Linked DNA regions of Styela clava. The protein of the gene in region 1 interacts with the protein of each later gene in a pairwise test. Links are inferred from orthologs where the notes say so. Each region holds a gene or a part of one and is shown on either strand. Other genes may lie near its edges.

Region 1 (15,639 bases):
CGCTAATTATACGACATATTTCGCCTAAAATCAATAGGCTTCTGGTCCGAGATAAGATTAATGCACATGCAAAATCTGGAGCAGATTCAATCTCGCTTGCGTGAGATATCGCGTGCATCTACCAGACATACAGACAGACAAATACCAAATCAACATACTTACCGATTAAAATCGATGAGTAATAACCAGAAAAAGACCAACCACATGTTTGACATACGAATAACAAATGATAATGCGTAATACAGTGGATAAAATAAATCAAATTAGGCAAGGAATTTATTGCTAGTGAAAACTAATGCAAGATTAATTTTAAAACACAATTTTGTTGAAAAAATAAAAACAATTTTCTCATAATTACTGAGGTTCAAGGTTGATAATATATAAAAATACAATGGAGAATAGCCCGAATTGTTGTTTCTAAAGACAATTTATACAAAAAACAAAATTGCTCTTAAAACAAATTTGCTGAAAAAGGGGTACTTCCGTAGTGTGTGTACTAGGTTAGGTTTAGGCCATAATTTTATTCCGATTTTCCTTATTTTAATTTTATTACAAGTTCGGGGACTGTCTGTGTTAGCCAAGTGAATATATCCCCTGCCCATAGGTTTCGGTCCCTTTACACAAGTTGATGTAACGTAGGCGAACAAAATTAGTTTCCCTCCATATTGGTACACATACAAGCAAGAAATACAATTAAAAATAAATAAAGAGGTCTGAATATTCTGTTGGAACATTTCAATTTGAGAATATTACTCATAGATTTGAAAAATAAATACAGTGAAATATATTTATGTCCAAGAAAATTTATACAAAATAACCCTAAATCAAATATTGTTCAAAAAAGTAGATTGAAAAAGTAACAAGGCACAAATGAACAATTGATTATATCTATAAAAGCAAGAAATAGAATTAAAACATTTTGTAGGAATAATTAGATTTGAGAATATTACTCATTAATTTTAATAAAAATACAGTGGAAAATGGTGATGTCCAAAGCAATTTGGGGAACTGCTGATGTAAAATATCTCATGAAAAAACAAAATATTATTTGGGTGATTTCCTATTATAAGTAACAATATTATTACACTTGTACTTGTCACTAATAGTCTTATTTCCAACCGTCGGCCATTTTGTGTACATTTTTTTTGATTATAAGAATATTATCATCCACTAGATGTCCTTCTATTTCTAAAATTAAATCATTTCATCGACTGGAGAGATCTTGTCATATCTAGTTCAGTGTGCGCTCTGGATACATCGGTTTGTAGGGTGTGAACATGGGTTTGTAAACGCTGAACTTCCGATTCTTTTTGATCTAGAGAACGCTGTATATTCGCAACATGTTCCACAAGTAACTGCTTGTCATGACGAAGTTGTGTATTTTCAGTGTCGACTCTAGCGAACCGTGACTCCAGTTCAGTCAAGCGTGAACGAACTGTCTCTCCTTGAAAGTTGGTGTGTGACATGTTATCTTGCATTTTCAGAATTTGGTTTTCTAACTCTCGACATCGCTGTTTCTGAATCTCAATCATATCGAGTAGTTTTCTCGACTCTAGCGATTTGACCTCATCTTGACCTTTTAGATACGCAATTTGAGATGTATGTGACATAGCTCTTGTTTCTCTTTCTCCGCGAAGGATTCTTTCGCGGTCCAGTTGTTTCGACAACTCCAAAATTTGACTTTGAACTGCGGTGTTTTCTTGAGTCAATTTCGAGACATCTCCGAGTAGTTTGTCTTTTAGAATTCTTTCTTGGGAAAACGCGAGCTCTTTTTCTCGTACTTGTTGCCTAAGCCCTCGAATTTCTGTCTGCAGGTCACGAGTGATTTGTTCTTGCATTGTAGCCGTTTGTTGGAAATGTCGCTCTTCGCTTGCATGCATGTCAGATTGTAAGCGTAGATTTTCCTCTCGTTTCCCTTCGAGAAGTAAAGCGGTTTCAGTGTGTTGAGTGATTCTTTGGTCAAGTTGAGATTGTACGAGAGCTAAGTTGTGTTGAGTGTGTCGTAAATCTGAATTTGTGCGGTCTAATTCTTGTCGTAAATTTACAATTTCAGAATCTTTTCGAGCTATATCTCGATCAGCAACGTCTTTAAGCTTTTTAAGTTGGATAATTTCTTCTCGGAGCATTCCTCTATCAACGTCAAACGTTGTTACTTTCGCTCGGAGTTCTTGATCAAGACGATTCTTTTCATTTGTGAGCATTGAGATTGAAGCGTCCTTTCTTGAAACTTCGATTTTGAGATCATTCGTTTCGCTGTGTCGTTCCTTGAGCTGAGTCATCATTTGATCAGCTTCTTTGACTAATTTTGGTTGAATATCGGTCGCTTTTTTCGCTTGATCTCGTAGATATGTCGTTTCTAACTCAAGGAAGTAGATTTGTTGTTGCAGATTTTTGATGTACTCTGATTCGACCTCTTTTAGAGTGCTACTCTTTCCTGGCGAGTATGCTGGCGGATAAACCGCCTTTTTCTTTTTATTTTCGGACCCTTTTTTATTCGGCATTTTGTGCTTTTTTAAGACAAATTAAAGAAGATATATATAGGCTGAAATTAAATAATATATTGTTGGTAATCAGATTTGGAATTCCACAATTTAAATGACATTATTTTCATTTATTGCAGTATTATGCTCCATTTTCAGACAGTGTCTCATTGCTATCTTTGGCATAGGATCTTAGTCCCAGGGAGAGAAACGCTGCTAAGATGGCCTAACATATGGCAACCATGCTCTCTTGTATGATTACCGGTGCATTTTGCGTATGGAAATAGTTACCCAGTTAACTTGTTTCAGATGAATGAACTTGTACGAATGCTAACCTTTCGCTAATACTTGGAATGGTATAAATTATTTGGAAGTAACCAATTTTCCATTATCAGTGAAGCTTAAAATTCTCAGTAGTTGATTGCAACTATTTGGGCTAGTGCTTCATTGAGAACAAGGAGCAATGTGGAACAAGCCTATGCTTCCGAAAACCAATAATTGGCTAACTAATACCATACCCAACATGTACCGGTACTGGTAACCGGACGAGAGGCAGTGGTTTGCCATATATTTAAGCCGGCGTATCACTTTCCTCTCCCTTGGGATAAATATGTAAATCCTATCCTACTGTATCCTAACTGTGAGGCTTTGAGTGAGTGGCTCCACATAAATACATCTGTCTCAGTAAAACCACTTCCAATCTCTGAAACCCCAGACCAATTTAGATTACTGCAATAAACAACAAGACACAGAGCGAATCTCCCTGCTTTTTGTTTGCGCTACATCTTTTTACAGTTATTGGCAGTTCATGATATCAATGCCAGGACACCGGTAACCAAGTAAATTGTACCGGTACCTTGTAAAAAGTACAACAGCCCAATAGTTTATTACTATCATGTATACATACATTTGTTTGTTAAGTTTGGCCCAAGCCTCATTTAATTGGGCTTGTATTTTTGTGGGCAGGCACATGAGATACTTCTCATTGTTTTATAAACTTTTTTATAGGTTTTGCTTGCCCTCCAGAATTCTCCATATTTAATTTATGTTTGTTATGGAGTTTTCGAAATAAACTATCTATCTATTTTCCTAATGCTTTAATTTGCAAATTTACATTGCATATAATATTTGTACATAACTTGCGATTAGCTAAAACTACAAATAACCTAACGGTCTTCTCTAAATAACATAATCATTATCACAATAATGTTCCAAATTAATCAAATTATCGCGTCTGAATTATTTAATTTGATTACAAAGTTATCGCTATCTCAAATGTTTGCAGAAGAAGCGCGTCATCAAAACGTCGTTATGGCAACTGATCACTCACTTTGATTGATCTTGAGTGACACCTCGCGAATGAATAAATTCGTAAATTAGTTCGTAGTGTTTGGAGTCGCCTAAATTGTTTCACGGATAAAACCGGAGTGGAGGCTTGACCATACAGCTCGCCCGCCGGCACGGTTTCTTTCCTACATCCTCGACGACCAAAAAAATGGCTGCTTAATCTTTGACGCCCGTTAAAAAAAAAAGGGAAAATAGTTTTTTTTTCGCCGGTCTTGGTGTGGCATCTTGATTTTCGCGGGCCTGTTTGCTCCCTTGGGTCAGCCAGAGCTGTCTTTCCGCTTCCTTGTTGGCATTAAGCAAGCATTGTTTTCTTTTTCCTACATCCAAATCTCGGGCATAGGATGAAGATGCTCTTTTACTTTCTCCTCCTTGTCTTGGACCTGCTCTTCTGGCACTCTTTGCCTGACTCACTCACACCTGCGTTGTTTTTTCTGTTTTCCTGTATTTTCTTCGGCTTTTCGCCTGATCCTTTCTCGCTTATCTTATTTTATTGTCCTGCTTTTGCTATTGGCGGTATGCCCTTCTTTCGGCTTTCCTCCCGTTCCCAGCCTTTTCTTTTTCCTCTTTTCCCAGTCTTTAGCTATCCTCTGCCTACTACACATGGGGATCCGCCTTTGCCTGCTCTGGTAGCCTTTTCTTTTTCCTCTTATTTTCTTTTTCCTTTCTTTTTTCCCAGTCTTTAGCTATCCTCTGCCTACACATAGGGGTCTTCTCTTTGGATCCGCCTTTGCCTGCTCTGGTGGTCGCACCGGCCTTCCGCTTCATCCGTCTGTCTGTTGTCCGTTGTCCTCATTTCTGACTGGTCTATTTCACTTGACTGCCTGCTCCTGGCGGTTCTCCCTTTTATCTCCTCCTCGCAGAGTTAGCCCAGGCTCTTCTTTTTTCACGCATGACTCATCTGCCTTAGTGATTCCACTCCAATCTGCGTTACTGTCTTCTCATGGCCTTCCCGTCTAATCTGCACGTCCGCTTTCCTTCCTTGTTCATCTCACTTGCCCGCCTGCTCTTGGCGGTCCTACCTTATGCCTGCCTTCCTCGCCTACTGTCTCTACCTAACCCACACACGGTTCTTTCCCATAGCTCCGTCTATCTCGTGGGATTCGAACCCACGCTTATACCTGGCCCAAGGTGTAACCATGTCTCTACGCTTCCCCTGCGCCACCGATACCGACGAAGACCGTTGGATCAGAATCTTACCTAATTAACAGATTTTAATCAACGTCACGCTTGGCAACCCCAGACTAATTATCTCAAATTACTGGACTCGGCAGTTGGCGAAGGGTGCAAAGCGTTAGATCACGGTTACCCGGCGCCGGATCGCAGGTTCGAATCCAATGAGGGACAATTATGTGCGAGAGGATTGCTAAACGCAAGCGCTGGTCAGCTAAGACTCCCTCGACCATAAAGTCCATCCACGAAACAAACAACTGGTAAACTATACTTATGTATACTACGCATGAACTGGTCATCGGACGACATAATTTTGTGCGCGATGTGGTTGGCCGTAACATCGGCCTGTTTCTCCACGGGATAAATTCCTATCCTGACTTATGCAATAGCGTATCAGCTTGCAGCATTGGAAGGCTGGAAGCCTGTGCATTTATGTCTGAATGGAAACTGTTGGCAACCGGATTTTAATACTTGACATAATCAATTTTGATTATCATATTGTGGCCACTCTGAAAAAAAAAAAAAACGGACAAACAAAATGTAGAGGACCTGGACGGCGAGCAGTCATAAGAACACAATAAAATAAAGACACGATATAAAATCGGGTAATACCTTTTAAATCAATTTAGGATGTGAGACACTGATCGAAAGGAGATCATGGCAATACTTTATACACACTAGAATTCAAAAAAGAAAAATGTGGTTGCGGTTCTTATATCGTGCAATATTTTTTTAATGGAGAAATCTAATATTACATTTGTATTGACTATTGGTAGTGGTATTATATTGGTATTTTCAAATTTGTGGAAATTCCATAGAGCTGGCGATGTTTTTCACTTATATTCTATGTCGCAAGGTGTTTTGAAAACTTTCCGAAATTTCCGTTTTGTGTGTTATCCCTATTCTATGGACGTTTCCCCGACCCTTGACCCCTGGAAAAAATATTATCAAAAAGATACAATGTTTACAACCATGCTTGAATATCTATAAACTCCAATTGTTACGTCATTGTTAACTTATTGCTGATTTGTTATTGTTACGGAAATAAACAAACAAGTTGCTGCACGGGGAAACATCCTGTCATAGCAGAGTTTATGAGATTTTTTTCATCCATCTGCATAACCACAAACTATCGTTTGGCTTCAAGTCCGTGTTCGAGACTACATATTTTATTGAATGAAAAGGTACATGGTGGCTAAACAACACGAGAACATCATCTATACTAATTGTTTTATTTAATTTATTTTATTTTTTCACTATTTGTATACTTTCCTCTTGAACATAAAATGTTAAAGGTCGTTTAATACTTTTTAAAAGGTCAAACAAATCGGGTCATCTCGGCACGATGACGTCATCCCCAGACAGAACGATCGATGTGAAAGCTTTGAGACAGCAGGTGTCGAGGGGTGGCGGTTTGTGATTTTTAGTTATTCGAGGGTTTGCAGTTGCCTCGACAAGGCTATTTCGGTTTGTAATTTTAGGTTTCGTTATTTTTACGTTTGGCTGTGTGCCTATTCCATTAATGAGTTGATAGACTTAGTTTTAATGCAGAACCAAGTGGAATCTCAGCCGTATTGTTTCTGCCATTCTGAGCTGATTGTCCTGTTGACCGTGACAGCTTGACAAAATACCTACCGGTAGTACCGGTATTAAGTTTTACTAGTTTGCTTAAGCAACTGATTATGTATAATAGTCTGTTGCAATATAATAGTAATATTACAAATCAAAGTAGTTAAATCTTGCAGATCGTCTCTTTTCCTGTTATTCAGTTATTGCGAAAGACTGAAAGAGGGATGGGCCTAAATAAATCTCATTCCAGTATTCTATTTGAACTATCTGTGGAATAAAAAATAGCAACAAAATAATTGGGAGTTTGCAAATGGATTTGCTTGGGTTGCATTGCTCATCAAAAACAGTCACTACAGCACTAGGGTGGCTTACCCACTTTCTGACTTTGCGCCCAAGACCTAATTGCGGCCATCAACTTCGACTATCTAATTAATGTCGAAAATTTATCGAATTGTGACGATATTTCTCACACGTTACCGTCCACTTGTCCCTCGTAGCTCTGCGAAATTACACTAAAATGCGGTCACAAACAAAAAAGTTACAACCGAAAACCTGACCGAGGAAAAGAAACGGACCATTTTTTCATGTCGCCAACTACCCATTGTCCCATCAAAAAAACTTGAAAATTCATACAAATATAAGAGATAGAGTTGTGTTTCTTTCAACCATCTTTAAATTTTCGCGTTTTTACGTTGTAAAGGAGGGGGAATAGGGGGTGCGCATTTCCAATACGTCGATAATATCTTTGCCGACCAATTTGTGACCACCGTGCTTTTGTCTGTTTGATTGCTGTGATGCGGTGCTTTGTATATAATTTGACGAGTTTTGTTCGAAATGACTGTGTTCTTAAAATATATGACGGTCAGAAATGCAATTAGAAGCCCATTTTTTCATGCATGGCTGCGTATGCCCTAGTCTTGACACAGCAGAAACGATGTTTAAAGCTTGAAATCTGTGGTCGCACACTGGTTGTTCGGTCGCAAATATGTCTTCCGAGTGTCGTACTTTGGTGGTTTGTATAGCTTTATCCCCTGGTTGTAGAAAGGTAATTCGAGGTTTAGCATGTAGAATAAATGCCAATGCACCTACGGTGAACGGGTTCGAAATATTGGTTTTTGTTTTATAGCGGTTTGAATGGAATCGTCAGCAGACTGGCAACACCACCCTACATTTTGAAGTTTTCTTTCAGGAGGAGGTTGATTTAACTGGGTTAATTCATATTGCTGTATTGTTGGATGCAGAACGGAACAGAGCTAGAGAACATTTTTTTGCTAGCTTCACAGAAATCATGGAATATATTTTATGATCATTATATTCTTTTTACTTCAATGTGTACTGTATTTCGTGCTATTTTTCTTCTGTTTCACGCTTTATTCAGTAAGTAGTAAGACCCCAATCATAGTGATGCATCACCTTTGAAAAACCTTTAGAACACTTGTGCACACTGAAAGTTGCTATTGCTATGATCATTCACAAATTTAAAAATATTTTCTTGTTCTACAGGGATTTATTAGTAGTAATATCTCACTTGGTTAGGTATTCTTTGATCAAATACATATGAATATTTAGAAGAAAATATTCCAACGTTCATTTGGAGAATTGGATTATAAACTGCTGAACTGTTTGGCGTCTTGATTCAAGATGACTGACGCAGGAGAGGCTTCATCGGCAGAATGCAGCATAAAGGTATTGTGTATGTTTATTGACGTTGGTTAGTATCACACAGCCCAATAGCCATTTACGAAGGCCATTTAAATGACGCTTAGAACATTATATCTTTCCCTAATATGATGTCCATATGGGGGAAACCATTAATGTACAGATTAGAACCATATTATCTCCATCTTTACTCCTAACCTTCTGTCCACGTGCCATGTATGGAGAAACCGATCAAATGATGATTGACAACTTTGATAAGATAGATAATTTGTCTTAACTTTGCCATTGTTCCAAACAGTAAATTATGATATACAAGACGAACACACAGCACAGATATTCAGGAAAGAAGATAAAACTTCAAGTTGAGTTAAGAAAAAAATGAGAGTACTACATGGTTAATTTATTGTGACATAGACTATAAATTCAGAAATGTACCACTTTCGACAGAGAAGAGTAAGCAATACAAATAGTAATTGGTACTATTATATACCCATTCTTATTCCTAACCTGATGTATATATGGTAGGTCAATAGACCTCTGCAGAGAATGCCATTTGAATGATGATTAGGACCACATTGGGGCTGGGCATTTTGAATCGAATATTCGAATCGAATAGTAAATTATTCGAATCGGTTCAGAGCTAAATTTCGAATCGCCGCCATCTTGTTTTTATCTTTCCGCTAATGGTCGAGGTGAATTCCCTAATTTTTCTTTTATTAGAGTCATATTTTTTCAACGGAATTCTAACATACGACTATTTTCTGTAGTGAGTTATTGATAAAACGTGTTTGTTATTCTGTGTGAACGCTCAGTAATCTATCTGAGTGAATCATTCTATGTCTTCGGTAATTCAATTGTTGAGAGGACCAATTACTATAATAAAGTCGCTTACAATTATATATTTCCAAGTATTCGAGATTCGATTCGAGAAAATTATTCGATTCGATTCTGAAATCACAAGGTACTCGAAAATGCCCAGCCCTAGACCACATTTCCATTTTTACCTTGCTATCTATCTTGCAGCTCAGTAGCCCTCTAGTGTAAAGCACATTTATTCGAATAGCGATTAAGACTATAGTTCCACCCCTATTCCTAACTTGCTGTCTATATGATAGCCCAGCAGCTCTCTACTGAAGAGAACATTCGAATGGTGACTGGGACCTTATATCCATCCCCATTCTTAACTTGTCTATATGCAGGGTTGCCATCTACCCAGAGCCAAAAATAAGCACGGGCGTCAAAATGGTATTTTTCAAGGGGAGGGGTCTTAACAACGGCAGAATAAGAATGAGAAGGAGATCATACACGAGTCTCCCACTTTTTATCATTAGAAGTCGCTTCGAACATGGTTGTACGCAGCTCCAAAATTGCAAAAAGCAATGGAAAGACACGGAGTCACTGCCACACGCTATCTCTAAGACAAGGGTCGGCAACCAAGTGTTACGAATCTTGGCGGGCGGCACATATTTTTTCCAGAAAGCTAAAAACTGAACGGGTGACTGATGAACCACATTATTTATACAGATTAGAAATTCAAATTTTGCACTTTAATAGCGACTTTGGTTTCCCGCAATGCGGTAGTATTGTGGGCACCGATTACTGTTTTCCACCTTTCTCGATGTCGCAATAGCAGTAGTTAATAGAAAATTTCTTTTCATGTTCGAAACAGAACTCATGGTCACGCTTACTCTAAATTGCAGTTAGTCCCTAAAAACAGTATTCCTAAAAACTAGCATCAACTATTGTGTGTGTCACAGTTTGCCTGGAAATACCGCAAACCCCACCGTTGAAAAAAGTTCGTCTGTCGTTTCCACGCAAGCTTTGTACACAAAACAAGTACTGGTCACCCACGTTTCTAACACCAAATAAGCACGCAACTCAAAAATAAGCACTTTTCTTAGAAATAAACACATAGTTACTTTATAAGACGCAGGCTAGAGAATAAGCATAAATCTTATAAATAAGCACGATATGGCAACCCTGTCTATATGGCAGCCCAAAACACCTGAAATGAGACCTCTAAAGAGAATGCTATTTAAATGGCGATTTGGACCATATCTCCTAACCAGCTCATCTCTATGGAATCCCAATAGTCCTCCTCCACCAAGATTGTCATTTAAATAGGGACCAATTATCTATTTTTATCCAACTATTTATATGACAGCCCAATAGACCCAAAAAAACAGGCTTTCAAATTATGATTGAATCTATATATCCAGCTTCATTACTAACCTAATTTTGGCTTGAACGAATTAAAGGAGAGTTGCAAGCTTTCATTGAAATACTGAATTTGTGTTAAAAATTTCTGATGTGGGAAGTTTAGATGTTTCAAATTAACATTTTGATTTAAAATATTCAACCACCTTTCATATAGAAGTATCGATAAAAAAGTTTGGCATAATCTATCACTGCTATTTCTAGACAACTTTTTGATTACTGCTATTAAACTAAAACTCTAAGTGAGGGAAAGTATAATTAGGGTATTTGATCCATACTTGAATCCGAAACAATACTAAAAACTGACAATGTTAACAACGATGCCAAAAATTTGTCTGAAAGACCAGCAATAGCCTACTCAACAACTGATAAAATTTTCCATTGTTATGTCACTTTTTGCATGTTACTGATTAGTTAATGTTACGGAAGTAAATAAGGATGTGCTTCGGGAAAAAAGGTCATGGTTCGTTATTCCTGTGCTGCGACAGAAAACCATTTTTTGATGTGAGACCTGTGGACGAAAATCTATAAAATAAGCGTACTTCTATATTTTTTTTCAGGTAATGTGTCGGTTTCGGCCGCTCAATCCATCAGAAAAGACAAGAGGGGATCAATTCTTGGCAAAGTTTCCTTCTGCTGAGCAAGTTACCTTTGGAAGCCCGGTATGAGAAATGTTTTTTCACTTTTTCCACATTAAAAATCTATGCCAATTTCAATTTAATTGAGTTATCGTATAATATAAAGTGGAATATTGTGCTCAAAGTTGGCCAAAACTGAATACATTTAAAATTATATTTTGAATATGAGGTATCAGGGAAGTAAAAGTTCTTACCATACAGTGTATATTCAATATTTTGAATTCAAAAAGACGTTTATTAAAAAATATCGAATATATTCTAATTTGAGTCTTGCTCATTGAAAAGGCAAATAAAATTGTTTGTCTCGGGTGTGCACAAAAGTGAAATAGACAGTTATTTGATAGGTTTCTGATATTTTATAATTTGAGAAATCTCACTAATTAAATGAAAGGGTTTCTGTTTCTACTGTTTTTTTATATTGATTATTTTTAACTTGCCTGTTGTATGCAACCCAATTTACTTTATGTATAGTGTGGACATGGTCGCCTAGTGCAGGGCTACTCAACTGGCGTACCCCGGTCCGAATCTGAACCGCATCTCAATCTTTATTTTGAATCATTAGCCTGATTTTTAACGTTTCATTTTATAAAATGACTTATTGTTTTGAATATATATGAAAAGAACTATAACACCATAATAAACAATCTTGATTAGCTGATAATCATTGACCGGTCGAGGAAGTGGGCGTTAATAAAGGATGCCGAAATATAATTTCTGGAAACACCGGACCCAAATAATTTTGTAGTTTTGTATGCGGATCTTCGGTAAATACAGTTGGGTGCTCCCGAAGTATGCGAACCAAGATGGCGGACATCGGAACGTAACAGGTTAGGGTTAGGCGATAATATTTTTCCAATTTTCCTTATTTTAGTCCTATTATCAGTTTGAAGATTAGCCAAGAGCCTCCCGTAGTATTTATACCTAAAATTATGGCTTAACCCTAACCTAGTACACATATTACATTCCGATGTCCGCCATCTTGGTTCGCATACTTCGGGAGCCCCTATAGTTGAGTAGCCCTGGCCTAGTGGTTACCAGTAAATATGATTACATATTTCGGGATCAATGTCCATGCCATGCCCGCCACTTCACCCTGGATAGAATGAATTATGTAGCCGATGTCAAACTGAAAACATTTCGTTCTTCCCAAACTACAGCGACAGTATGGCTGCCTTGTACATAGAAAAGTTTTATAAATACTTCATAGGAAAAATTTATGATATTCAAAATATTATTCCAGAATGTATTCGTAATAGTAAAAAGAATAGAATCTTTTTGGTCATCCTTGCTCGCAATTGAACTTTTCACAATGTACGTCAATGTTGTTTATGTTTTTGAGTTATATTACCATAAAAAAGTGATTTTCTCCTATGGATTATTTCATCATTGAAATTATTTCACATGGTTGTCATTGCCGCACTGACGATTATTCGATTTAGACTTTGCCTTTGGGGCTCTCTGTGTTTGGAAATACTAAACTTGTAAGAGGATTTCCAATATGACTTGAAATATATATTTGACATAGTAAATTCATTATTTGGTAAGGACTAATTTGAAAATGTGGCAATTGAAGTCTAATAAGTAGTTTTTATACTAAAAATACATATTGTATGAATAAAATAATGAAAAAAAAGGCCTTTCAAGGTGAAAAGAAACAAAACAGACAAAGTAACACTATTTTTCTGCCTCGACTTATCAGGTGGTAATATTGAAAAACCCTGATTTTTAGCACTAAAAATTGATCTAGACTCATTAGCCAGAAAATACGGTATTTTAGAATGTATTTGAAATAGTACATTATTTGGTTTGACCGATTCTTGCGTAAAAATTCAATTTGGTCCCATGTTTAGAACTACATAATTGAGCAAAATTTGTGTATATTTTATAAATGTAATGTAATGTCCACTACCTATAAATTGAAAGTCTCACGTTGTGACCAAAAACCTGAATAGGTTACATATTATTTGGTAAACAAACTCAATTTGCAATATATATAAAATATAATATAATTCAAGTCAACAACATTATTTTAAAATGTATTTGGAATATTAAATGATTTTGTTTTATCCATCTTTGCTCCAAAAATCCATTTGGTCCCATATCAGCATAGGGAACTATTATTTCAGAAATGGACTTTTTAAAAATGGAAATGGACTTCAGACTCGTTAAACCTACTGTCACTATAGATCAGCGGCTTCCAATGGGGACACTATGCTAGGCGCAAAACTTATTTTACTTTCCCCTTACAAGAAAACTCGGTTCTTTCTAATTTCATTGCTTGATGAGGTTATTTCACAAGATGTTATCACTATATTGAGCATGAATTGTTTGAACATAACAGGATTTGGAATCTAGGAATCAAAATAACACAATAAATATAAACAGGAGTTAAAATTCTCCAGAAGGGGACTATTTGTTTATTGGTGTAAATTGATGTTTTATTGAACACAAACAATACTTAACATAAACAGATCAGTTGTCACCACAAATAACAGAATATAAAGTTAGACGTAAGACACATGTTGCCTCTGCTACGCCAAAGTACTAAATGACCTCTGGAGACCAGCATGGCAGTATTTATACCCAGGAAGCATGCTTCAGTGGTTTTACCCACAATGCTCTACCATTGTGCTGTGCTGTCATTGGTCAGTTGAAGAGTGAGAATAGAATTGAAGTACAGTTATCTCAGGATGACAATCACCTGGATAAAATGTAAATGAGAACACACAAGTTAACACCAAGGGCCGTCTTTTGGTCAGCGTTTCCAATCTGTACTCGTTTTAGTTTTGATTCTAGGTTAGTGTGTTATGTTCATAACAAAAATTTGATTTCTTCAAATGTAAACGTAAGCTACTTTGTGAAATCATGTGAGCAAAATTCTTTGAGGAATACTTCATAAATAGTATGTAATGTCCACTAATTTTCATTTTATTTACCCATTCTTGCTTCAAACATCTGTTTGGTCCCATATATAGGGCCTTATAAGTTGAGGAGAGCTTGTGGCTACAGGTCCTATTATTGTCATAGCACTGCATAATATGTTTTGAATCTATTTTCAGATTTTTATAAAAAAACGCAATCTGAAAATCCACTGTGGAATGTCAGCGCATAAATACTTTGTAATGTCCACTACTTAACATTTTATACCGGTATAATTCACGTAGAAAGAATCACAGCCTCGAGGCAAAAGTTATGTTGTGATATATCGATGACCTTAAAAGATGTCATTTGATCAACTTGGGTAGTGCATTATCGTCTCTTATCTGGTGCTTTATGTCAGTCACATTACGGCTAGGAATGCTGGTAAATGAATAGTAATATGGGTATGCTGTAGAACAGTGGTTCCAAACTGTATTGATCTGTGGCCTCCTTCCAAAGACTTTTATTAATACTTGTGCCCCCTGTATTCCTAAATTCAAAAATTTAATATTTCGAATTTTTTTCAAATATTCATTCAATTTGGACATTCCTGATGACAAGCCAATAAGTTTTATCGGCTCTGATCTGGTGCTGTATGTCAGTCACATTATGGTTAGGAATTTTGATATGTAAATAGCTTGAATGTACCTAAGTTGTTTTTATGCTCTGTAATCATTTACAATGCAAATTATGATTTACCGGTAAGATGATTCTGGAAAATTCAAAACTATCAATGTTATTTCATAATCAATCATTCAAGCACGGGGATGATAGAAACATGAATATTTTTTACCAAACATACATTGCTTGTAGGAAAAATATGGAGTATTTCAAATTTTACTCAAAATTTACGCAAAATTAGACACATTCGATGATTTCCTTGGGAAATATGTGCATTCAGAACAGTGTTTTCATTCCCAAACCACGGCTGTGGGCCAAATGCGGCCCAAGCAACGGTTTAATATGGCCCGCCGAACTTGAATGAAATAGGTAAACACTTTATGTTTTTACCTTTTTGCATTCTAGATACTGCCAATTGTTATGTTATTATCATAGTTTGAGCATGTGTATATTCGTACGGTAAGTCGTAACAATTCAATCTTATCGATAGCTTAATTCTACGTATTGGTACCAACCTATACCAGTTGGGGCACTCTTTCTCTCAGCTCGAGAGTATCCTCTCACTTCTAATTTTGGCCCCCAGTTAATTAACTGATTTAGAATCTCCCGAATCTAAATGAATTTTAAAATAGAATTCAAAATCCCTCATTAATCTTAATAATGCAAATAGCAAGTAGTTGGTATGTCATAAAAAATAGAAGCAATTATTAAATTATGCATTCAAGGAATTTAAACCTCCGTAAAAGACATTTACCAGCTGGTATATAATGACCCAATAGAACTTCATTTAATTCATTTATTGTAATCACAAACATTTTTCTTTTGTCTTTAAGAATTTCTTAGACATCTGGATATTTATTGCATTTCGCCTGGGGGCGTGAAACTGAAAAATTCAAACTTGAGGTCACTAATCTGCTTAAAATTTTGGAATTTTATTTCTAGTAAAAGTTTTTAAATTATGTACGATACTTTTTGGATGTGATTTCATCTGTTTACTGTCTGAATATTTTATAAATTAG
Region 2 (16,254 bases), on another chromosome or scaffold:
TAAAGTAAAATTACACACAAAAATAACGATAGATAAGATCGATCGTTACAATAATTAATACCGTATATTGTCATTTCCAGTTCTCAAGTATGATTTAAACGAGAATAATGAAAATTTTGACTTTTTCTACGCACCGCAGGTACAAATCCGCAAAAAAAAAAAAAACTTTTACACCAGGCGGGTATTCAAGCACCGGCCCTTATTTATTTTTATGTCCTGTTCACACGGGCGGCTATTCAAACGGGCCCTTAATCAAGACCGGGCGTTAAAACGAGCATTTACAGTAGTCATCCGAAATGACATCCACTTTATTTCGTTTGCGACGCATATTCCAGTACTAATTTGCTTCCAATGGAAGGGTTATCCAATTAAGAAGCAGGAAACGAAGTGAAAGGTTTGTCGAACGATTTTTACGTGAATTTTGTGGCCTTGTGACGTCATAATTTCAGAGAATCATTGGATTAATCCGCCAAGACATTTCATGATTATATTGATGATAATTATATGAACAACGCGGATAATTTCGAGCGCGATGGCCTGGTGCATGGTGGTCCTAGGTTGTCGGCGCCGGGGGCCACAATATTTATTTTGTCTTGTCCGCGGGCCACATTAGTCCTACGACATTTGACATGTGGCCCGCGTGCCTGGACCACCATGGCCTAGTCGGTAAAGCACGAGACAGCAGACTCAACTATATATTGGAATCCCGCATTACACATCACGTATCGCTATAGAGATCAGTGGATTGTTTGGATTGAGCTTTGTTAATATGATTAAGGGTCGCGTAAAAAGGAATGAGAAATATTTGGCAAAAATTGGATTCACTCACGGCCACATCGACATACCCTGGAATATACACTTGGAATATGTGGGGTGTGAATCGTCAACTAGTCGGCTCCCGTTGCATATGTTATTGAGTTAATTATGGGGCCGATGAGGCGCGTATATGTGGAACATAGAGGTACGGTGTATTCAACTATGGTACTAATTTCTGATTTCCAATTTCAAAATGATTGAATAATGTCTTATGTGTGCCACGGCCCACGAGCCCTTTAATTAGGCTTATCATATATCTGAAACAAAAAACCGGGACGGTGCGATTTGGCAAACATTCAGTCTATTGCCAATTAATATTAAAACTTCTACCATGCCATTGAGGGTAAATACAGCTGTCAATCTCTACTGGTCTTTAAATTAGGAAAACACAAAAAATTAGTTTGTATTATTTATTTAGACCAAAAGTATTTGTCCGCAGAAAGAACGCTTCTTAAAAATACTTGGTTCGATTTGATTTTGTCATAAAACTGATAACATGGCAGATCCCCATTAATTTTGCAGGGGACGAGTGCTTTAATATTTTCTTCTAGCATTCCGCCTCTGCTTTCAGACCAAAAAATTTTAACAATTGAGAAAAGCCGTTCATCAGATGCCGATGTTTCAGGCAAACAAAATACAAATTCAATAAGTTTCTGCAAATTCAAAATACTAATATTTTTGCGTGAAAAATTCTTGAACCTTTCTATCCACTTATCCTCAACGGGCAAAGTAAGCCAAATTGCATTTGATCTATGCTCGGATAAATATTTCTTTATCCATCGCTTGCGATGGAATAAACACACTTTCCATTTTTTATGCTTCACCTCAGGCAAAATATCTGCAACATCTACAGCATTAGTATTATCTTTTTCCAAAATGAGAACAATTTTGAAGTAGGTGAGCTGGCCAAGGACAAATTTCAAGTAAAGTTCGTACGCTGGATCGTCGAAACATTTTTGTATAAGAGTCGGGCATCCTTCTTGAGAATTGAAATAACTTTTCAAGCCTTCAATTTCCGTTATCCTCTGCAGAGCAGGTAATAATGAGAGCAACCGAGTGTTGCCATGCTGCAATAGCCGTTGATATTCAATATCAACAAAGTCGCAGAATGATTTCAGTTCTGTTACTCGGACAGTGTAAATGTAAAAATATTTATAAATTTCTACGGCAGACTTTCTACACACACAGGCAAAGTATCTACGGCATGTTGAATGCAGTTATGAACTACATGAGCCGCACATCCTATACCGGTTATATATTTTTCTTTTTGGGCTTTCTTTTAGTTTGAAATAAACAATATTTGTACCGCGTCTTTTTACGCCTCCGAAGTAGGTGTTGCAGTTATCCGCACAGAATCCAACAACTCTTCCTTTTAAATGTTTTTGATCGAGAACAGAGAGCAAGTATTCAGTAAAAGTTTTGGCGGTTTCCCCGGGTAGAGATTTGAATTCTAATATTTTTTTTCACACCAACATCAGTTAAAAAATAACGAACCACAACTGGAACAAGCTTTAAATCTTTTCTGCTTAATGCATCGATGGTTACTGATACGAGTTCAGAGGATAGCAGTGGAGCAATGCAATTAACAATCACCGACTCGCATTTAGTTCTGACTAATGCAAATTTAGGCTAAGAAAAATTTGAAATTAATTTAGAGGTGCAGTAAAAACTTTGGCCATGAACAGCAGTATGATAGGCAACTGTGGCCTCTTTGGCTGCAAAACAAAGAATCTTTCGAATTTGTTATCGCAAAGAAGTTGGTCAGTCGAGCCGCTTTGGAGATGATCGTTGACAGCTGAACGACCGCCATGACTAATAGAAAAAACAGATCTACAATGAGTACAAAGTGTTTTTCCTCCTTCAGTTTGCTTCAAATAAGGAAAATCTCTCTTCAACGCATTGGAAAATTTGCACTTTCTTTTTGTCATTTCGACAACTTAACGTCAGAGCAGTTAACATCAGGTGACGCATTAAAACATATCACAATTGTGACATAACAATAGACAAATTTCTCTCTCTCTCTCTCTCTCCCTCTCTGAACATGTAAAGTGTGTCGCAAATCAGTGGTAAGTGGGCTGTCTTCAATAAAAAAATAAAAATTTATAATAATATTGAATATAAACCTTTACCCATGGCAGCCGAGCTGCCAAACCGGGACATTTGAGTCTACCGGCCGGGACGCCGGGACAGCTTGTTAAAACCGGGACTGTCCCCGCTAAACCGGGACGTATGGTAAGCCTACCTTTAATATATATATGATGCTGGTTGTCGTTCAGAATTAATTATTTGCTGTCATTTACGGTAATATGAATCTGGAAACAGAGATATTTGAGACAGTAAATGCTGGAATATACACAATTTTTGCTAAATAACGTGATTAGAATTTAATTTCAGGCTTTATAGTCATGCAATTTAATATTAAAACTTAATGTTATTGAACTAATAAAATTTGACTCAAACTTGAATTATATATATATACCTTTTCAGGGAAATTTGCTTGAAGAGAGGTCGCGCGATAACTGAAATGCGAAGAATTGTTGAAATGTGTCAGAAAATGAAGATTGTTTTGAGACTTCAAAATGGGAAAAACACGTAGGGGAAGGTGGGGCACGTTGGGACATGGGGCACAGTGGAAAATCAGCTCTCACACTAATACTATATTCGGAATCCGGTTCGCGGTTTGATGTTTCAATCCGCCCTTCGGTGAGTTACAACGTCCCCGCAAACCGACAGCGGACGGGTAGAGCGACGCAAGCTATGAGGTGAAATTGGTTTTGGGGAGTTGAAACTAAAATTTCATCGTTCCAGTTTTTTCTTTTTTCTAACTTAGCCTTTTCAACGTGACAAACCACCGTTTGATATCTTTAAGCTATAGTCCACTGTGAAATATTTATAACGTTGGCGAGTGGATGTGCCTTCCGAATTTCGCCGTGAGATGATCTGAAGATATTTGTTGATTATGGGGAACAATGGACCGGAGTTCAGTGGGACATGCTCTACATGGCACAATTCGACAGTGTTTGATACAACAAGTGCTTAGAGACCTATAGATGCGTTATATTTTTATGTAACATTATGGTATCTTTCGACTCATGGTCCAATATGAAATATATTCGAGAATCAAAAATATTTCCAGATTTAGATTCGAATTAGAAAATGATTTGATTTGTAAGCGAATTTTTTGGTGGAATATCTGAAATATTTCGGTTGAACATTGATTTTAAAAATCTTAAATCTTCAAATTTGAGGTCTCCCTGTTCTTTAGACGATTATGCTGATTGATTGCTTATTTTTAAGGGCATACTTCCTTGAATTTTAACAGAATGACCCATTGTGCCCCACAAGTGGGGTACCGTGGGACACTTGACAAACGTTTTTCAAAGCATTTTGGTGGTAAGATGTGTGTCGCAAGGGAATTTCTTAGTCGCTGAATAAAATATACATTTACCCCTCTCTGCAATAATCCCGCAAAGTCATATGAATGTGCAGAATAAAGGGCTCAGAATATGAAAAAGAAAAAAAGTGTCCCAACCTTCCCCTACGAGTTGTAAATTCCACATAACAAGTTTTTGGAATCCATTTGGACATTTTAAAATCCGACAAGGCTTTTTTGGCAGGAGAGTGAAAAACACATCTACTTGATGAAGATTCTTTCCCAGAAATTTCGATAATGCAATTATTTCACCTTCAAGCCTTTCTTCATAGTAAAGATCAAATGTAAGCAACCACAAAAGAGGAGAGGATGCTGATTGCTGATGTATATTGATCTAGCATTTGAATCGAAGTAAAGGATTGAGCAGTACTTTTCACTTGATATTTATTTATGAACTTTTTGAAAACCATTAAATCAACGGCATGAAAACTTGAAATGCAGAAGCACAATAAAATGGAAAAAGAATTATGAACAATTTCAATTATTGAAATATTTTTGATTGGCATCTTTAATATTTATAGCTTTGAGATGCGCCCCTTTTCCCATCGATATCTTGAAAACATATACTACTTGCAAATTGTTGGGTAATATTTTCTATCTCCTAGTAATTGAGAACGTGGGAAAACAATCTTCTAAAGCAGGGATCACCAACCCGTTGCCCGCGGCACCAAGTCGCCCGCATGGACCATATTATGTTGAAATAGTATATCACATTTTTGCAGATGTTCACGATTAGACTGCAGATAATTACAGCAGAACCCGCCCATGCTCGAGCACATACAACAGTCATCATAGTTGCTTTGTAATTGTTCATGGATCAATTGGTTGAAATACAATACCACTTTTCTTAAGAAGACTTGTATCTGAATGCTGGGAACTTCTCATTCTCATTTATAAAAAGTTACGGACAGAAGTTTCATTTGATTGAAATAGCAAGCACATCACCAAAGAACACCATAAGCAGAAGATCTGTATCTGATTTCTTGGAACCTCTCATTCCCAATTACGAAAAGTCACAATCAGCAGTTTATGGTCAAATATAGAATTTTGCTATGCTATCCTTGATCTAATTACACCCTAGCACAGATAGAAGACATTGCTTCACTCACATATCAGCATATAGATTATGCGAATGCCCTTCGATTCTTTTTCTCAGGTGAAAATGACAAAATCACTGTAGCCTACTACCTTAATTTCTTATAACAATTCACCCATTTTACACCCCTGGGAATAGTAATCATTCTTGTTATGGGTGCCATCCCCAGGTAAGAATATTCAATGGAATTTATTCACTTTGTGTTGAGATATAATTTGTTAAAAATATGCGTAAATACAAGAACACAATAGTAGTAGATTTCCTCTGTTACTAATACATTTTAGCTGTCTTCAAGGTTCCAGGCAAGAGTGGAAAATTGAAAGGTTGCTAGCTAATAGTTCAGTATTTCCTAAAGATTTTACTTAATTGGTTATGGTTCTCTCATTTTTAACATCTGTAAGAGCTTCTTTGACATCACAAACTCCTTGCTTAAACAATTTCAGTAGAAACACGACAGAGAAATGCTAGTACAGAAGTTTGTAATTGTGAACTTGTTATATCATACAGTAGTCTGATTAAACCTCTTTACCGTCCCAGTATGTGCCTCGCAGAAGCATGTTTTCTGAGATATTCTTCAGTAGTTGGCTTGATATTTCAATCAATGTACAGCAACTTTGGTGATTAGGTTGTAAGAGCTCGGGCATGAAGGTCTTCTTCATTTGTAAGTTTTTAAATTGTGAACATCTGAAACAGCAATTGATATACTTACTCTGTAATTGTTTGTAAGCACAATTTTTATCCATGCATATCGGTAGCCTGATAGTGTTATTACTTATAAACAATAATGAAAACGCATCGAATCTCAATTTATAACTTAAAAAAAGAATACTCTTCTTGTAGCATATTTTATGAGCTACCTGTATCAATATTATCCGAGTTATTGATCTGAAGAACAACATGGCATCTCGAGACGGTACATCGTACACGTGCACGTTTTTTTTTACTAAAATATCATAACGCATCTGAATACAGTATTTCTATGAATCCAGCAACGAAACACCATTACATTGCGTTTTAACATTGCGCGGCGGTGTGGCTCAACGGGCTAGGCGTTAGGAATACGCTCGCCACCGCACCTCTAAATACTCTGCGTGGGTTCGCAGGTTCGAATCCCATGCAGGGATGGTTATGTGCAAGAGGATTGCTGGACTCCTCGCCGTCGTTGGGTGGTTCACGTAACCGCTGGTCGGTTACGGCTTCCTCCACTATCAAGTCTAGCTTCCGAAAACAAACAATATAATTAATCCCATACCCGACTTGGAATGGTAACCGGACGAGAGGCCGTGGCTCGCCATATGGATAAGCCGTCTCATCGGCTTTCCTCTCACACGGGATAAATATGTAAATTATATCCTATCCTATTCACAAGAAATACTGCAAGTCAGGCCTGGACGCGTTAACGTACAGAGCAAGGAATCGCAGGCGTCACCTCTTTTTGCATCGACGAATGCGAAAGTTACAACAAGTCAAAGGTTATGAATGTCGTTTTTTGTCCTGTCTAAAAAGTCAAAAGCTGGACAAATCCGGCACTTTTTGGCAGACTAGCAATACTTCTGTACATGCATCTTTTGCCATTGCTTTGTATGTGGAAAAGGTTAAAGAGGCACATACGATTGGAGAAACCCCCCTGATAGCATATCAAACAAAGAAACGAGTTTCGCTGTCCAACGACATAATAAAATTCAGAATCAATGAAATGTCTGACAATATTAAGAGCAAGGTAATATCAAAGATTGACTCCTCTTCTGTTTTTGCCCTTAAACTGGACTACTACTACATTTCTACTTGTGTATGCCAGATATGTTGATGGTGAAATGATTACTAAAGAATTTCTCGTCTGCCAACCTTTGGAAAGAACATCAAAGGCAGTGGATGCTTTTTAAGTATTAGTTGATTTTTTAACAATATTGGTTTAAGTTGGAGTAAGCCTGTTGGCGCTTCTGCCATGATTAGGATTGGTTTCCCTCATAAAGCAGAAAAATCCAGTAATTTAAAGAAATTATTACATGATTCACTCAACGGCGCTTGTCTCCAAAACCATTCCGAGGAGACTTTACGAGCATTTGTCTGACGTAATTAGAGTGACGTAAATAATTACGTGAAAAGTTTAGCGCTCAGCACTAGACTCTTACGCAAGGTTTGTAAAGATATAGGTGGATAGGATTCACATATTTATCGCAGGGGAGAGGAAGGCCGATTAGACGGCTTAATCATATAGCGAACCACGACCTCTCGTCCAGTTACCAGTTATTTGTTTTCGGAAGCATGGATTTGATTTTCCTACACTTGCCGATGCCGATCATACTACACTTTTATATCATACGCAAGTACGTTGGCTCTAAAAGGAAAACATGCTCCCCATGTTTTCGAATGAAAGAAGAAGTGATGTTATTTTTGGTTGCGCAACAAAAAGAATTGGTCAACTCTAGGGTTCAGTTCACGGAAAATCTCTATCAATCTCATTTCTTCGGCAATACAGCTTTCACGAAAGTATGCACACATTTGTGTGAACAGAACATGGTGATATTTTTAAATGGGCGTTTCCCCGACCATAATTTAAGTATAGTCTATCGCAAGGTTTGTGGGATCAATTTTGGATTATTGCAACTAAACTAAAGGTCCTCAGAAGACATAATGACAACTAAGGTATTTAATCAGAAACTACTTTTTGTAAACACATCTGAAAACTGACAAATAACACACAAAATCACGAAAACGTGGCAATGTTTACAACAATACTGTACTTGGAAATCGGTCCGTGCGAAAGAAGTGTCTGGCTGCATAGATTGCGATTGTTACGTTATTGTGTACTTACTCATTGCTGATTGAGCCTTTTCATGGACATAAACAAGGGAATCGACGCTAGGGGAAGATTCCGATCGGTTGATCATGTGACGTCATCGCATAGTCCACCAGCTGGCCGGCTGTCATGAGGATTTTATATTATTCCAAAATCCAAACCAAATTTCGTTTATTATGACGGCGTGTTTTTTAGAACGCCCGAACGTTGCTTGAAATGAATATGCTTTGGCTCCATTCGGCTTGAGAATTTTCTGGTTAGTACCAATGTGAAAATGTGGTTGTTCCTCTCGTAATAAACCTGTAAACTTATACCGGTACCGTAACTTCAGAACTTACAAGACTGCAAGAGCTGAAGATAGAGAGATTTATTGTTTCAAGCAATTGTACCACACAATAAAAAAATATCCAAGTCAATTGGGTATAGACAGGAGGGAGCGGTACGAGCATTGCTCACTACAGCATTAACTGAATAAGGGCAGGAGGGATAAATTTTTTGAATGTTTTGGTAATGTCAATTTGTACGGTACCTACTGCAGTACTGACTGACTGACCTAGGCTAGACGCGGCGGTGTGGCTCAACGGGCTAAGCATTAGGAATACGCTCGCCACCGCACCTCTAATTACTCTGCGTGGGTTCGCAGGTTCGAATCCCATGCAGGGATGGTTATGTCTGTATGTGCGAGAGGATTGCTGGACTCCTCGCCGTCGTTGGGTGGTTCACGTAACCGCTGGTCGGTTACGGCTTCCTCCACCACCAAGTCCATGCTTCCGAAAAACAAACAATACAGTAAAACTAATCCCATACCCGACTTGGAATGCTAACCGGACGAGAGGCCGTGGTTCGCCATATGGATAAGCTGTCTTATCGACTTTCCTCTCCCCCGGGATAAATATGTTAATCCTATCCTATCCTTCTAAAAGTCTGTATACTCTGATACTGGTATACCGGGCATTACCGGTATTCAGTTATTACGTCATTGAAAGTAGGTAGCCTACCGGTATAGACGTAGATACTACCGTACCAGGTATAAAAATATTTTAGAATTAGGTAGACTACCCCAATTGATTCTCCATTTTTCAGTTCTTTATTTTTCTGTATTTGGTCAAAGATATGTTCAATTTATTCAGTTATTACGGTACTGTATTAACAGATTAGACCAATAATCTAATTTCTAAATTGTGACCAATTTATCATCGATGTGATACTTTTTGGTGAATTATCAACATGTCTGGAGGAACAATGGTCATGCAGGATGACCCTGCTGTCAATTTAAGCAATGATGGATTAAATTCCACACAAAATGGTGAAGTAAAAATGTCACAAGATGTTATTCTACAGAATACAAGAAATGTTATACAAGGCTTGGATCAATTGAGAACCGAGCATAATTCTATATTACACAGGTAAGCTGTATTTCTTTTCTTGGTTAATTAATGTCATGTCTGCTACAAATATTAAAATATCATACTTGTATCAAATGTTATATCTTTATATATTATTTATAATGACTAATTTTTTATTTTTCCTACAAATTGAATATTTTTAGTCTTCTTGCGACATTGAATGCAATAAGAAGAGAAAATGACAAAGATGTAAATCTTGTTGAAGAAAAATCACATATTATAAAAAAGTCATTGGAAATGATTGAGCTTGGTTTGGGAGAAGCAGAAGTATGTTTTTATGTTCTTTCTATTATCATCCTTTAGTTTTTACATTTTTACATATTTCACATATTTTCTGCAGTTGACTTTAAATTTTGAATCATTACACTTTCCTGTAATTATATCAAATTTTTAGAAAAAATATACCTTTTGTTTGTTTAGATTTGAAAAAAAAAATAAAACATCTCAACATAGACATTTTTTTTATTCGCGTAACAAAATTCAGGAAACTATGTAAACTTCAAATTATTTGTAGATGATTGTATCATTGGCTTGTCATTTAAATACTGTGGAATCGGAAAAACAGAAACTGAAAGCACAAGTACGTCGTCTATGTCAAGAGAATGCATGGTTGCGGGATGAACTTGCAAACACCCAACAAAAGTTACAACTGTCCGAGCAGAAGGTGAGGGTAGAAAGATATTAGAAGTTGAGATTCTTAAACATAGTTTACAGCAGGGATGTCCAAAACGAATTGATGAAAAATATTTCTGGTGTTTAAAAAAAGAAATTTGTTCGCCCTTCAAAAAGAATGTTTATCTCAAACATTCTGCTTTACCAAATTTAATTTTGATAACTTTTCTGTTTAACATGCCACATTTCAGGATATTTTAATTTTTGTATACTAAAATATTGTTTCCACAAGTATTTGTAATATTAATTATCCTGTTTCTGCCATCAGTATGAAATTAGTATTTACTAGACTTCTATTAGGCACAGCCTGCACAGTAATGGTGGTTATTTTTTTGCTTGCTGATTTACTGCAAGCAGTAGTTTACAAGTTCAGTTTTATCAAATGAAAACCTCCAAGAATAACTATTATTTATTTTCAGACTGTACAATTGGAAGAAGAGAAAAAGCATCTTGAATTTATGAATTCAGTGAAAAAATATGATTCTGACACAACAAACACTCAAGGAGTAAGTTATCAAACAAATTCTATCTCACATCTTAATCCTTGTTTCTGCAGATATCTTCATGAAAATGAAGGATTTACCATTCAACCCTGCTTAGGTTAACTTTATTAATTTAATTGGCACGAAGTGTGTTTATGGATCATTTTGCCAAATTATTGTTGTTGAGATTGGACCAATCAATATCAAATTTTAGCATGTAAATATGGAAGAAAAAACTAGTAGGCTATTACGTTTATTTTTTTTCAAATATACTCTGAGTATTTGCAATACTCTGTAAGTTAATATTTTATATTATTGATCTTTGCTTCACAGAATAAGAATTGAATGTAGAAAATTGATTATTCTTATCTCGTTAGTATTGAGCTTACTTCATGCTTGATCACTATTGAAATCGTACTTCTAATATTTGGTCACAAAGTGGATGCATCTTTCTTGGCAAAAAATCTATTTTTTTATGTGCACTATAATTCTTGCCAAGCATGGTCCAAAAATAAATTATACTTATTCATACGATTTATCTTAGTTTAATGTCAGATATACTCTTAGAATGATGAAATCAATAATTGAAGTCTTCATTGTGCAAATCAATATTTTATGGTATAACTTATACATTATTCAGCAGGGAATTCTGTTCTCTACTCCCCTGGGCCATTTGCTGTGTAACTTTTGTCTATAAACTAGGAAAGCTTACTGGACAGCTGTAATATATTTATATATTTTTGCACATCATTGTTTATTAATATTATGGAGTTTACCACTATATTTTTCCAATTGTGCTGCAAATAGCATGATGTTGTTTTAATAATATTCATAACGATGGCTTCACTGCAACATTGTTACTGAGAACATTTTTACCTTTGAATCATGATTTCGATAATAATTTGCCGTAATAAAAATGCTCCTTTTTTGTTTGAAACTTGTTATAAGAATATTTTGAATCATTTTAAATGTGATTGTGATCTCTATGTTTATTAACTTGGTGATGAAGTTTGATACTTATATGTAAATTAAAAAGTCAACTTATTTAATATCTTAACTAACTATTATTGTAAACTAGGCAACAAAAGTTTCTATCCAATGATTTGCTGCTCTATTGCTTCTCATTTACGGTAGGTTTTTCCGCACAGAACCATAGCAAACATGGTTATCGAGCACATTGTAATGCAAATTACCAATTCATTTTATTGTATGAAAACACAAATAAAGCGTGGTAATCGTTTGAGTAATTGCAAGTTCAACAAATATTCAACAGTGGCCAAGCAAATATTGTTGACAACTTTTATCAAATTGTCAAATTGATATATAACTTTCAGGTTTCAAACAACAATTCATTACATTGATAACAGTGCTAAACAAACGGTTTCTGCTCTTTTTCATACTGATGTGTGGTTTTATTATTCTAATATCATAACATTACTTCAAATATTTATCGGTTTTATGACCTTATTGCAATTCAAATACCGATAGGTTCATTATTATACTTCATGTAAAAATCAAATCTTCTGAGCTATAAGTATTAATTAAACTCTTCAATTATACTAATTGATTACGAGCGGCTTTAGTATAAAATTATCTTATTTTAATTGTGTATATTTTAATATTATAATTACCATAGCCTGTAGTCTAATTACTGAAGGAGCATAGGTTCTTAATTAATGAAAGTCATTGATTAAATTAATTTACTACATCTATGTGAGTGAATAAAACTACTAATGTTGTGTTTGCTTGGTCACTCACACTCACTGTTTTAAAGCAATATGCAACCAACGTTGTCTGATTCCTTCTAATCTTGTATTTTTGATTCTATTCAACCTAAGTGCCTTCAAAATGCCGCAGTGTTTGTCAATAGATATTCGTAATAACCGGTAGTAGACTATCTGAATTCAATGGAAATTTTTTGTTCAACTTGATTTTCTATTTAATTTAACCAATTTTGTTAAAACCCCTCATCATAATATTACGTTTTGTGATGAGAAATGTGCACCATATATCAGGGCTACTCAACTGGCGGGCCGCGGTCCGAATCCGGACCTTTCGAGTATTGGATTTGGACCGCACCTAATTATTTATTTGGGATCATTAGCCCAACTTTTTGAATTTCCTATTATAAAATGACTTTCATAGTTTTGAATATATACGAAAAGAACTATAACACCATAATAAACAATTTTAATTTGCTACTAATCATTAGTCGGTCGAGGAAGTGCTCGTTTAAGGATGCCGAAATATCATTTCTGGAAAGACCGGACCCAAATGATTTTGAAGTTTTGTTTGCGGACCTTCGTTAAAAATAGTTGAGGTAGCCCTGCCATATACTGTTCTCAGTCATGCATAGTTAATGATTATTGAATTTTGTTTCAATAAAAGAGATAAAATCGTCTGGTACCAGTACATCTGTTGCTTTGTAGATTCATAACACTTATTCATACATATTGGGTAAATTTATTCCCTCAAGCTTCTATTATGAGTTGTGAATCTGAGTTCATTCTCATGTATGAGAGAGTTTATTATAACTGAAACTGAACGATTTTAGTTCGGTTATCTTGGAGTCATTGTGTCAAATCTATTCATTTCTCTAAATGAAAATATCATACAGATACAGATATATTCAGTCCTGATTCATGTATTGATATTTCATTACCACTTGAATAACACTTTGCAGGCTGACGACACACGTTCTGCTGGTGGAAGTATTGAAGATCTATTCAACGATACAACAGAGGCGGAAACAACAACATCAAGTGCAATACCACAAACACCACCTGGCCATAGTAGTGCTGCTTCTGTTGCTAGTGGTGGATATGAGATTCCTGCCAGGTAGTGTATAGTTAGTTTATATGTGATACTGAAATGAAGTTTTCTCTGTCAGAATTCTTCATATATTCAGATATTCTATGTTGGATTTTTTATATTTTGGAATTCTACTTTGTCTTTTAAAATGGGTACATTGGTGAAATAACAATTAAAAAAAAAAACATTGAAAGTTGAACGTTTATTTCTATTTTAAACAACTGATTTCGAGAGATTTCAACCCAAAAGGGTGAAATGTGGATAAAGCTATTTTGAGAGAATGTTGAAAACATACTTTTTTGATTCTTGAACTCATGTAACTTGAACTCATGTTTTTCTTGAAATACTTTGGTGATAATTGCTTTCAACAATCATTAGATAGGCTACTAGAGAAGCATTATTTTTGTTGATGTTCACATTTTCCAACAATAAGCCAAATTCTATGAATACATCCAAAATCAAATATTCATCAAAATTTTCTAATTTTAGACTTCGTACTCTTCACAATCTCGTCATCCAATATGCGAGTCAAGGTCGTTATGAGGTTGCTGTTCCGTTATGTAAGCAAGCTTTAGAAGATCTTGAAAAGACATCTGGACACGACCATCCTGATGTTGCTACTATGCTTAATATACTTGCACTTGTCTACAGGTTTGTTTACATTATTAAGATTTTCGTATTTTTATTTCTTTGCTACTTTATTACGGTTTCTATAATTTATTTTGGGTGATGTACTGAATGCTTGATGATAATTGAAATTTCTGGCCTGCATTTATTATCAAAAATTCATGACCTGTATTATAAAATTATTCAGAGCAATTTTTCTTGTTACAGAGATCAAAATAAATACAAAGAAGCAGGAAATCTACTGAACGATGCTCTTGCCATTCGCGAAAAAACACTTGGACCTGATCACCCTGCTGTAAGTCATTGAAACTTTTGTATAATGCTATTCCTTGGTGAATTGGTTTACAATTTATTCAGCTATACTTGAAATATGATGCCATGCCATAGGATGTGATAATTTTTCAGGTTGCTGCAACGCTCAATAATCTTGCTGTATTATATGGAAAACGTGGTAAATATAAAGAAGCTGAGCCACTGTGCAAAAGAGCTTTGGAAATTCGAGAAAAGGTGAATATTGATTTTGTCTTTTCATTTTATTTACAATTTCTGTAGCCTCTTTAGCCAATAGGTATTTGTTTCTTCCTGCAGTTCCGTTTCGTAGGATGTACCTTCATGTAAGCCTGTGTGATAATATAATTTTAATCATGGCATCATTGGTTACATTATAACTATATATGCAGAACGTATGGAGCATGAAGCCAGTTGCCAAATATGTGGGCCACATCTATTTAAGTTCATAAAAAATCAGGTCAACCGAACAAGCAATGACCAGTTTTCCAGGGTGTCCTTTTTATGCTATATGGTGCGTTTTTGTTCAATCATATCATGCCAAATGCGTAATACGGAATCTATATCCAGTTGGTAAACCAAAATACACATAATCTAGTACTTTCTCCACCACCAAAGCACCATGGAGAAACATGTTTCATAATTGACAACCATAAATAATATCTCAAACAATTAGCTCTTATAATAAATGTAAGCAGGAATCTTCGGGATCCGGATGCAGCAACCAAGCTTGATCTTGGTATAATTTTTTTCTTATCTCAGGTTTTGGGTAAAGATCATCCTGACGTTGCGAAACAACTAAATAATCTTGCACTTCTATGTCAAAATCAAAGTAAATATGAAGAAGTCGAGAAGTATTATCAGAGAGCTCTGAAAATTTATGAAACTAATTTGGGACCTGATGATCCAAATGTAGCTAAAACAAAAAATAATCTGGTGAGTTGATTCTTTATGATAATTTATCACCACAACAAATTGAAGTTGCAAAGATTTGATAATTTTTACTATTTAGACGGAAGCTATTTCGCATCGAATTTCTAGCCAGTGTCCAATATCTTTACTTCTGCAGGATTTTCTATTTGCTGGATTTTATTTACAGAATTTCAGTCATTAGGAAATAATTTGGATGTTTTAAATCAGCTATGTCTATTTCACAACACGCATTATTTTATGATCTCTAATGCCTCTATTGTTCACTAAAACTTCCTTACTTCAAATGTTTTGCATTTTATTTTGATCGAATTGACAAATATAATAATTAGTTTTATTTCTCAATTTCAGGCCGCAGCATACATGAAACAAAGTAAATTCAAACAAGCTGAAGCTCTTTATAAACAAGTCTTAACTCAAGCTCATGAGAAAGATTTTGGAAGTATTGACGAGAAGAATAAACCTATCTGGATGCATGCTGGTATGTCCATTCGTTTTCGGATATTTTTTTAATTACAACCAACAGTGGTTTGAATCCCAGTATCATAAATGACAGATTAGGAAGCAATAGATTTGTATTTGAAGAGAACAATAGCTGAATCATCGACAATTTTTATAGTCTGTAACATATCTTGAAGTCAGTTATTGGATACTCATTTGTTGGCGCTCCAGAAGTTTTGTGTGAAGTGGCTAAAACCTACGGGCAGGGGGTATATTCACCTGGCTAACACAGACAGTCCCAGAACTCGTAATCGTAATAGAACTAAAATAAGGAAAATCGGAACAAAATTATGGTCTAACCCTAACCTGGTACACACCCTACACACCTGGTACCCATTCGTCAGTGCTATCACTCCTGGAGTGTAAAATATTTATTTTCAAAATTCAGCTAC

What was found.
Region 2: the proteins of kinesin heavy chain-like (region 1) and kinesin light chain 1-like interact in binary tests that used the Drosophila melanogaster proteins (3 or more experiments, as listed by UniProt). The link is inferred for Styela clava from reciprocal best matches to the Drosophila melanogaster genes Khc and Klc.

The regions. Positions count from the first base shown.
Region 1 is NC_135262.1:2,468,346-2,483,984, forward strand, and holds the start of kinesin heavy chain-like, read left to right. Parts: upstream 1-8,073; 5' UTR 8,074-8,207; coding exon 8,208-8,252; intron 8,253-11,002; coding exon 11,003-11,104; intron 11,105-15,639. Other genes in the region: uncharacterized protein LOC120332555, read right to left, coding at 1,200-2,501. UniProt on the Drosophila melanogaster protein: Kinesin is a microtubule-associated force-producing protein that may play a role in organelle transport. Milt and Miro form an essential protein complex that links Khc to mitochondria for light chain-independent, anterograde transport of mitochondria.
Region 2 is NC_135255.1:2,450,365-2,466,618, forward strand, and holds the start of kinesin light chain 1-like, read left to right. Parts: upstream 1-9,265; 5' UTR 9,266-9,372; coding exon 9,373-9,551; intron 9,552-9,694; coding exon 9,695-9,818; intron 9,819-10,065; coding exon 10,066-10,215; intron 10,216-10,642; coding exon 10,643-10,729; intron 10,730-13,388; coding exon 13,389-13,543; intron 13,544-14,005; coding exon 14,006-14,167; intron 14,168-14,350; coding exon 14,351-14,438; intron 14,439-14,548; coding exon 14,549-14,650; intron 14,651-15,193; coding exon 15,194-15,367; intron 15,368-15,712; coding exon 15,713-15,842; intron 15,843-16,254. UniProt on the Drosophila melanogaster protein: Kinesin is a microtubule-associated force-producing protein that may play a role in organelle transport. The light chain may function in coupling of cargo to the heavy chain or in the modulation of its ATPase activity.